Linked DNA regions of Canis lupus familiaris. The protein of the gene in region 1 interacts with the protein of each later gene in a biochemical or structural test. Links are inferred from orthologs where the notes say so. Each region holds a gene or a part of one and is shown in the gene's direction. Other genes may lie near its edges.

Region 1 (4,568 bases):
CAAGTGGGGACGCAGCCCCCCCCCCCGCCTGCAAGCAGCCCCCCAGCCTCACCATCGCTCCCACCCCACACCGGCGGCTCCTAAACTTTCCCTCTCGTAACAAGGCGCCCTGTCACCCAGCCTGCTTCCCTCTGCCTGGGGAGGAGGGGAAGGCGCACGAAGTAGGAAGGAACTTGGGGAGAGGGCGGGCGGAGGGTGGGCGAAGCACTGAGGGAGGGAGGTGAAGAAGGCAAAAGTCAAGCAGTGCGAGGGAGAGACGGCGGGGGCAGGTGAGGGCGGGGGGGCGGGGATGGGGCCGGGAAAGGGGCCGAGGACGCGGGGGGCAGAGGGTAGGGACAGCAGGGGAGGGGAGGGGGAGGGGCGGGGGGGCCGGGCCCTGCACTCACCGCGGCCCATGGCTCGGCCGGCCCCGCCCTGCGCAGTCGCGGCCCAGAGGGTGAGTGGGAGGGAGTGGGAGGAGGGTCGGCGGAGCCCGAGCCTCCGGTACGGCCCCGGCCGGTCCTAGCAGGAAGCGCCGCCGCCGCCGCCGCGGATCACCGAGCGGCCTCCCGCGCATGCGCCATGGGGGCCAGGGGCAGCCCTGGGGATTCCGTTCCCAGAAGGCACCGCGCAGGCTGCCGCCGCCGCCGCCGCCGTCGCTGCCGCCGCCGCCGCCGCAGCCGCCGCCGCCGCCGCCGCCGCCGCTGCCCGGACGGGAGAGGGGCGGGGCCGGGCCCCCGCCCAGCGGACAACGACGAGCCAACAGGAGGGGCCGCAGTGCGCATGCGGGAGCGCGCCTACCCCTCCCCCACAACCCCCCATTAATCCCCAAGAGAACAAACACCCCACGCGGCCCCCCCGCCCTCCGCGGAAGGATCTGAGCCTCTTCCCAGGCCACCGGCGGCCAATCCCAGCCCTCCCCGGGGAGGGGCCCCTTCCAAAGCCACAGTCTGTCGGGGGAGCCAGGAATGCCGGGTCCGGGAGGGGCCGGCCCCAAAAGATGAAAGTCGCGACTTGCCCTGCCCCGCCCCAAAGGCTTCCCGGGTAGTGTGCTGGGACTTGACCCGCCTCCCCAGGTCAACATGTCACAACAGGACCTCCGCCTGTCAAGTCACATGACCTCTGCCTGTCACTGACAACCTGGTCATGTCTTTGGGCCAGGAGAGACCATCTGGTCCAACCCACCCCCACCCCCATCTACTGAAGGGGAAATGGAGGTCTGGAGCAACGGAGCAGGCCCGGCCGAGGACCTGTCACCGTCACACCACCACCTAAACCTCCTTGCAGCCACAACCGGCCTTGTGACAGATTCTACTTAACTCTGGCTGCCCCCGTGAGGGTATGACAGTGAATACAACCGGCCGCCACATGGCATCTTTTTTCTCTCTAATGGCACAAGAAAAACGTTTGCATTTTAAGCGATGCTTTTCACTTTTGTTTAAGCTGCCTCCAAGTTCATAGTGCTCTCGTTTTACCTTCACAACTCGTCATCCTTTATTTACAAACAAGAACGGTTGTGGCACAGATATTAGGGGGCAAGTAAAGGGGCAGGTGAGGCCAGACTCTGGGCTCCTGACAACCCGGTGCAAGGCGGCTGCGCGCTCAAGTGCACCCAACGTCCCAGGCAACGAGGCTCTAAGGTCGCCCGAGCACCGAGGCGGCAGGCGGCGGGTGCACGGCTCCTCACGCAGGAGTCACAGGACCTGCGCGGCTGGTACAGCGAAAAGGGCGGGTCTTGATCCTTGGTGGAGGCACCAGAGTACGGGGGGGGGGGGGGGGGAGGCTGAGAATCGCGTCCACCGGGCCAAGTCCTGAATCCTGGCATGCTGAGCGCTCATCAGAAACTTCACAAAGATAAAAGTTAGGGGTGCTTTTCGGCGAGGAGCTGAAAATGACCATCAAAAGTACTCAAGTTCCTCGGCCCCTTCTGGGGGAATTAGGGAGCTAAACGGGATCTTTCTATGCGCCTACTCGAGGAGACGTTAGGCGGTCCTGTGGCTGCATGCAAACTTTCAAAAGAGATTGGCTTAGAAGACCTCGCGCCCACTAACTAGGAGGGGACCGAGCAAAATGGGAGCCCCCCATGCAGACGGCGAGGCGGGGGCTAACGCCAGGTGGGCGGAATAAGGGCGCCGAGGAGGACGAGCCGCAGCGCGGCTTCGCAGGCAGCCTGAGGGCGGCCACGGTTGGGAGCCGTTGGGGCCGTTGGGAGCCCGGCGCTGGCGCCCCGCCCTCTCCTCTCCCCCACCCCCCCGCACCGCCCACCACCCTCGTCGGCCCCTGCGCGTGCGCGCCGAGACACCGGTTGCCAAACATTGCATCATCCCCGCCCCCCTCTCCTCCCCTCCTCCCCTCCCCCCCAGCTCTCCCCTCCGCGCGCGCGCATGACTCACTCGCCTCCTCCGCGGAGCCTCGTGACCCAAAGCCACTTCCGGGTCCGACACCACCTCTACCCCCGGGCCGGCGGGAGCGAAGGGGGCGGCGCCGCGGGGGCTGCTGAGTGGCGGGCGCGGGGGGCGGGGCGGGGCCAGCGCCGGCGTGCCGCGCCCTGATTGGCAGGCTTGCGGGCCCGCCCCCGAGGGGAGGGCAGGGCCTCCTTAAAACATCCGCGCTCGGGCCTCCGAGGTCAGAGGCTTGAGTGTAAGGCACAGAGCGGATCATGTTGAAGATGAGCGGGTGGCAGCCACAGAGCCACAGTCAGAGCCGGAACCTGAGGAGAGAGGCGAGTACCGATCCCACCTGCTCTTTACCCTCTAGTCCTCGGGGATGCTGGTTGTCCCTTCGAAGTTGGGGCATCAGCTGCTCAGGATGCGGCCCCACCCGTTCCCCGACGAAGTTAGTGACAGTTCGAGGGAGGGACGGGGAGCATCCTTTATCCGGGAGTGGTGCTTACAGACCTCTCTTCCCTCGGACGGGAGCGGCGCCCCACCCTGCCCGGAGCGCGGGCCCGGCTCTGGGCCGTCGGGCTAAGGGGTCCGGATGCCCTCGGGAGACTCCCTGTCTTCCGCTGCTGCCCTAGGCCGCCTCCTTGGTCCTGTCCGGTGGGAGGCGGGGCGGCAGGACACTCCCCCACGCCGAGACGCCTGGATGGCTCTGGCTCACGCCCTTGCCGCCACTTTCCCACCAGCGGCCCTGCCCCTACCCCACCCCCAATCCTGTCTCAGCCCAGCGTCTCAGGGCCAGAGTGGCCACGTCGGTGGATGGAGCTCCTGGGTCCTGCACAGGACAGCCATTCCACACCCTAACGGAGAAGAGAACCTTAAGGAGACAGACTCCAGACTTTGGGAGGAGGAGGGATGCCAATGGCTAGGGAGCAGAGATGGGTTTTCCCATTCCCCCAGAGGTCCCGGGGGCCTCCTGCACAAGAGAGCATTCTGGATCCCTTAAGTGTGGGAAGCCATTTGGGGTCTCCCCAGTGTAGGGTCCTTCCGCAGGGATTTGTCCCTGCTGCTTTCCCCGCGTCCTGCCTCCCAGCTAATTTCTGTGTAACCGTTGCATCAGGCCAGCCCCCTGTTTGGCTCTGCAGCCCTCTGGCCTGGGGCCCCACTGCTGATGAAAGCGGCATCCCACACGCTGGAAGGCAAGGAGGGTCCCCCAGGGAGGACAGCCCTGAAGAGAAACACTCTGGGAGATATTGCATCTCCAGTCCCCAGGGCTGGGCAGCTGCTGCTCTGCCTCTGGGCTTCCTCCTCCCTTCCCTATGAGACACTGGGGAGAATTCTTTCATTCTTCACAAATTACTTATTACACACCTGCTATGTGCCACACATTTTAGGCCCAGGATGCATCTACGAACAAGGAAAAGACCTGTTCTCACAGAGCTTACATTTCGTGGGAAAAGGTGCACAGCGAACAAATATAGAAGTGCCAAGGAGAAAACCAAAGCATGGAAGGGTAGTGAATGCCCAGGATGTTTACCTTGAGTCATTAGAGATTCTCTCACAGAGGTGACATTTAAATGAAACTTCTGAAAAGAGGCAAAGTAGTAAGCTGTGCAGATTTGTGAAAGGAAGAGCTTTCCAGGAGAAAGAACAGTGAGAACAGAGGTCCTAAGGTGGGAGTGTGCAGAGTTTAGGGAGCAGGCCAGCTGGACGGACTAGAGGGAGAGTGGTCAATGAGAAATCCAGGGCAGGGAAGGAGATTGTGTGGGGCCTTCTAAGCCATATTAAGGACCTTTAGCCTTTAATATTCATGAACTTTAGTCCTTGAAGAGTTTTGAACAGACTGACAGGACCTGACTAGAGTTTTAAAAGGCTCACTCCAGGGATCCCTGGGTGGCGCAGTGGTTTGGCGCCTGCCTTTGGCCCAGGGCGCGATCCTGGAGACCTGGGATCGAATCCCACATAGGGCTCCCGGTTCATGGAGCCTGCTTCTCCCTCTGCCTGTGTCTCTGCCTCTCTCTCTCTCTCTCTGTGACTATCATAAAAAAAAATAATAATAATTAAAATAAAATAAAATAAAATAAAATAAAATAAAATAAAATAAAAGGCTCACTCCAGCTGCGTGTTGTGAACAGACTTGGGGCAGGGTGGCAAGAGCAGAAGCCGGGAACCTGAGTAATCCAGCAGAGGAGAGTAACTTGACCTAGA
Region 2 (3,801 bases), on another chromosome or scaffold:
ACCTGACTTCTTCAGCCCTCCTCGCAGGGGGGCTGTCCTGGTTTGCCAGTTTTTACTGCAACGAAAGGCAGTGCGTTGAAGGCGGGTTGTAATTCTTGCCTCCCATTAAGTGTGTGGTCTCTTGAATTTTATAGGTAGCCCCTGAAGAAGATGAAAGGAAAAAGAGGCGGCGGGAAAGAAATAAGATTGCAGCTGCCAAGTGCCGCAACAAGAAAAAGGAGAAGACAGAGTGCCTGCAGAAAGTGAGTCTGCCCGGGGCACCTGGGTGCTGCAGTCGGTGAAGCGGCTGACTGGGTTTCAGCTCAGATCATGAGCTCCTGGGTCGTGAGATCGAGCCCTGCAGTGGGGTCTACGCTGAATGGGGAGTCTGGTTGTGGATTCTCTCCCTCTGCCCCTGCCCCCACTCACTCTCTCTGGCTCTCTAAAATAAATAAGTACATCTTTTAAAGAAAGAAAAGGAAGGAAGAAAGAAAAAGAAAAGGAAAGAAGAAAGGAAGGAAGGAAGGAAGGAAGGAAGGAAGGAAGGAAGGAAGGAAGGAAGGAAAGAGAGAGAGTCTTCCCCTTCTGGCCCCCTCCTCTTGCTCATGCCTGCCCCTGCCAACCTCATGTTCCCATCACAAGGAGAGTCCAAAAGCGCCCTGCCTAGAAGTCTCCCAAGAAGGATGTGTAGCTGGTAACAGAAAGGCCAGTTGCTGAATGAGGAGGTAACAAAGCTGTTAGCACCATCGAAGGGAACTCTGGTTGTAGAAGCAGCAGGTGTGTGAATTAAAAACCACAGATTGTCTGCTGCCCAGATTCCCAGCAGTCTTGGCTCGTCCATACACGTCCAGCAGCTTCCAGGCTGCAGGATATGTCAGCCCAGTTAAAGAAGCTTCACTCACCCGTTTTTACCGAGAAAAGGAAGCAGCCAGTTCTCACTTGGCTCAGTATGAAAAGCCTTTAATTAATCTCTTCAAACAAGTTATTTCCTTAAACTGCAAGCAGTGGTTATACTCTTTTTCTTGGCCCTCTTGTGTGTTGGTAACTCTGCCTCCCTTGTCCTGGGCTCTTCCCATAGTCTGAGCTCGTGGCTGTGTTCAGCTAATTCCCCTTCTGAGGGGAGAGGTACAGATGGGCACAGCATCTCTGGGCAGGTGGGGCGGGCCGTAGCACAGTCCTATGGCTGTGTCCCCTTCCCCCAGGTGTGGACAAGCCAGCGCTGAGTCTCTGCCCAGGTCCTCCAGGTCCCCAAGGATTCTGTTGATTGCTTCAAGAGAGGTGGTGAAAATTGAGACCTTTTGTGTGTGTTGCCATGTACATTTTTTCTGGGGAGGTGAACCTCTCACTGAAGTTGGTGACTCACAAGAGCCTGAATACCATGAGTCTGCATTTCTCCCCAGCCCTCAAGGCTCTCGGGGGCTCGGGAGAGCTGCACGGGGGCTGTTGGACTCACACAAAGGAGATCGGTGAGCTGTCGGTTCTGCAGCAGCCTCCTTACCATGAGAGTCACAACCCACCCTCAACCTTCAGTGGAAACTCAAGGGCATCTCTAGAAGCCTCCAAGTTCAAAAGCTTCTCTCCAGGGTCTGGGTTCTCCCAGACCTCATGCTGTTGTCCCAGCTTTGCGGGGTTGCTGGACCAGCGAGCCCACGGCACTCCCCTCCGCAGGCCATCCCCAGCTTGATGAACTCCCGAAGATGTGTGGCCACCGCCGCCCCAAGGCCAGCCCCTCTTCACTGGAACCATGGCTTCTTGGCTAATAATTCTGTTGCTTGTCCCCCAGGAGTCGGAGAAGCTGGAGAGTGTGAACGCCGAACTGAAGGCCCAAATCGAGGAGCTCAAGAACGAGAAGCAGCATTTGATATACATGCTCAACCTTCATCGGCCCACGTGTATTGTCCGGGCTCAGAATGGGCGGACTCCAGAAGATGAGAGAAACCTTTTTATCCAACAGATAAAAGAAGGAACATTGCAAAGCTAAGCAGTTGTGGTATGGGGGCAACTGGGGAGTCCTCATCGAAACCTACTACATCCCAAACCCTGAAGCCATTGGAGATCTGACTTCCTGTGCACCTCTCGCATCCTGGCAGTGAAGGACCATCGAGGCGGGAGAGCCCTTGATGACTCAGCTGGGCCTTTCCTCTCTGCACCAGAGTGGACTTTGGACCAGGGCAAGGGCATCTTTTGTCTCAATGCCAAGATTTAGGCCTTAACTTACTGGCTATTCTTGGATGCTGTAGGTGGCCCCTGGTTAGGGTCTTGCCCATCTTTTGCCTGGATTCTACAGAAACCAGGACTCTCACCATTAGGACTCATGCTCAAGAAGTGTCTGTACCTTGGGTGGGTGGTGTGGGGCCACGTCCTGCGCCGCCACTACCACTGTCACTCCTCGGGGACACAGAGTGAGAATGGCATTTAGTGAAGTTGTACAATGGCCAGGGTTGTGCTTTCTAGCAAACATGCTGTTATGTACAGGAATTACTGTGTGCAAGGCATTTGTGTCAAAGCTAGGCATTGTGCTCTTCTGATGTTTGTTTTGCACAACACCGGTGTGATTTTCCTCAGATCTGGCTGCTGAGAGTTTGAGGGGGCTATCACCATATGCAGTGTCTTACAAAACGTTGAGGTGGCCAGAAGAGCTCATCAGCTCCGGGAGAACAGAATTCTGCTGGCGAGCAGTGCGGTTTTTGTGTCAACAGAGAAAGCTGCCTTTCCCGTGGCACCCAGGCATTAACGCAGAGTTCATGGGCATGACTGCAGGTCCTCTGTCACAAACTCAGTTATAATGTCACAGGAAGAAAGCAGAAAGTCCAACTTCCAAAGGTCTAGGACTCTCCACTCAGTGACTTAGGTCAGGAGTTATTTCTAGGCCAGCAGAGCCAAAGAATATTCCATTTTCCTTTTCTTGCAGTTGCAAACCACATTCAGTGGAGACAAGTTTGAAGCCAGGTGATGCCTAGGCTTTAGCATTATTGGATGTTAATGGCATTGTTTGTCAGGCGGATGTTTGTAGAAATCTGGCCCAGAGCATTTATTGCTGTGAGAGGTCATTCACACTGGCCATAGGACTCTGGCTACTGTCTGTTTAAATTCTGATGTTTCTGTGAAATCCTCAGAGTGTTTAATCCTACTTAATAGTGTCATTACAATTTTCTGTAAGAGAATATATTACTTATTTATCCTAGTATTCCTAACCTGTCAGTACAATAAATATTGGAACCAAGACATGGTAAACTTAAGTGTTGTACTGGTTTCTGTTCTTTTTAAATCAGTTGCTCGTTGAAATCTAGTCATTCTCCATCCCCTCCCTCTCCATTGATGGGGAGGGGCGTTTAGCTTAAAAATTCTCCCAAGTGTCATCCCTTTGCTCTTTGGGGGGCCACCAGGTGAGATCGTTGACTTTCAACCCTGTTCTCAGTCTGTGGCATTGGATGATGCTGTTTCTCATTGACAAACCCTGGAACACGGCGCCAACCAAGTATAACCTTTAGGCCGTTTGGTGTCAAGATAGAGGTTTGATATAAAATCCCAATTGCAGGGCAGCCCGGTGGCTCAGTGGTTTGGTGCCGCCTTTAGCCCAGGGCGTAATCCTGGAGTCCTGGGATCGAGTCCCACATGGGGCTCCCTGCATGGAGCCTGCTTCTCCTTCTGCCTGTGTCTCTACCTCTCTCTCTCCGTGTCTCTCATGAATAAATAAAATCTTTAAAAAAAATTAAAATAAAATAAAATCCCAATTGCTAAATACCTTGACTGTGTTTCTCGGAATGTACAGACGCTGAAAACGTAGACCTGATGTTCACCTTGACACCGTACATTTTGCCA

What was found.
Region 2: the proteins of DDIT3 (region 1) and ATF3 form a complex in vitro, tested with the Homo sapiens proteins (2 studies listed by BioGRID and IntAct, with this or other methods). The link is inferred for Canis lupus familiaris from reciprocal best matches to the Homo sapiens genes DDIT3 and ATF3.

The regions. Positions count from the first base shown.
Region 1 is NC_049231.1:1,963,316-1,967,883, reverse strand, and holds the start of DDIT3 (DNA damage-inducible transcript 3 protein), read left to right. Parts: upstream 1-1,591; 5' UTR 1,592-1,693; intron 1,694-2,372; exon of another isoform or gene 2,373-2,455; intron 2,456-2,551; exon of another isoform or gene 2,552-2,701; intron 2,702-4,568. UniProt on the Homo sapiens protein: Multifunctional transcription factor in endoplasmic reticulum (ER) stress response. Plays an essential role in the response to a wide variety of cell stresses and induces cell cycle arrest and apoptosis in response to ER stress.
Region 2 is NC_049228.1:10,645,503-10,649,303, forward strand, and holds the end of ATF3 (cyclic AMP-dependent transcription factor ATF-3), read left to right. Parts: intron 1-134; coding exon 135-242; intron 243-1,762; coding exon 1,763-1,960; 3' UTR 1,961-3,218; downstream 3,219-3,801.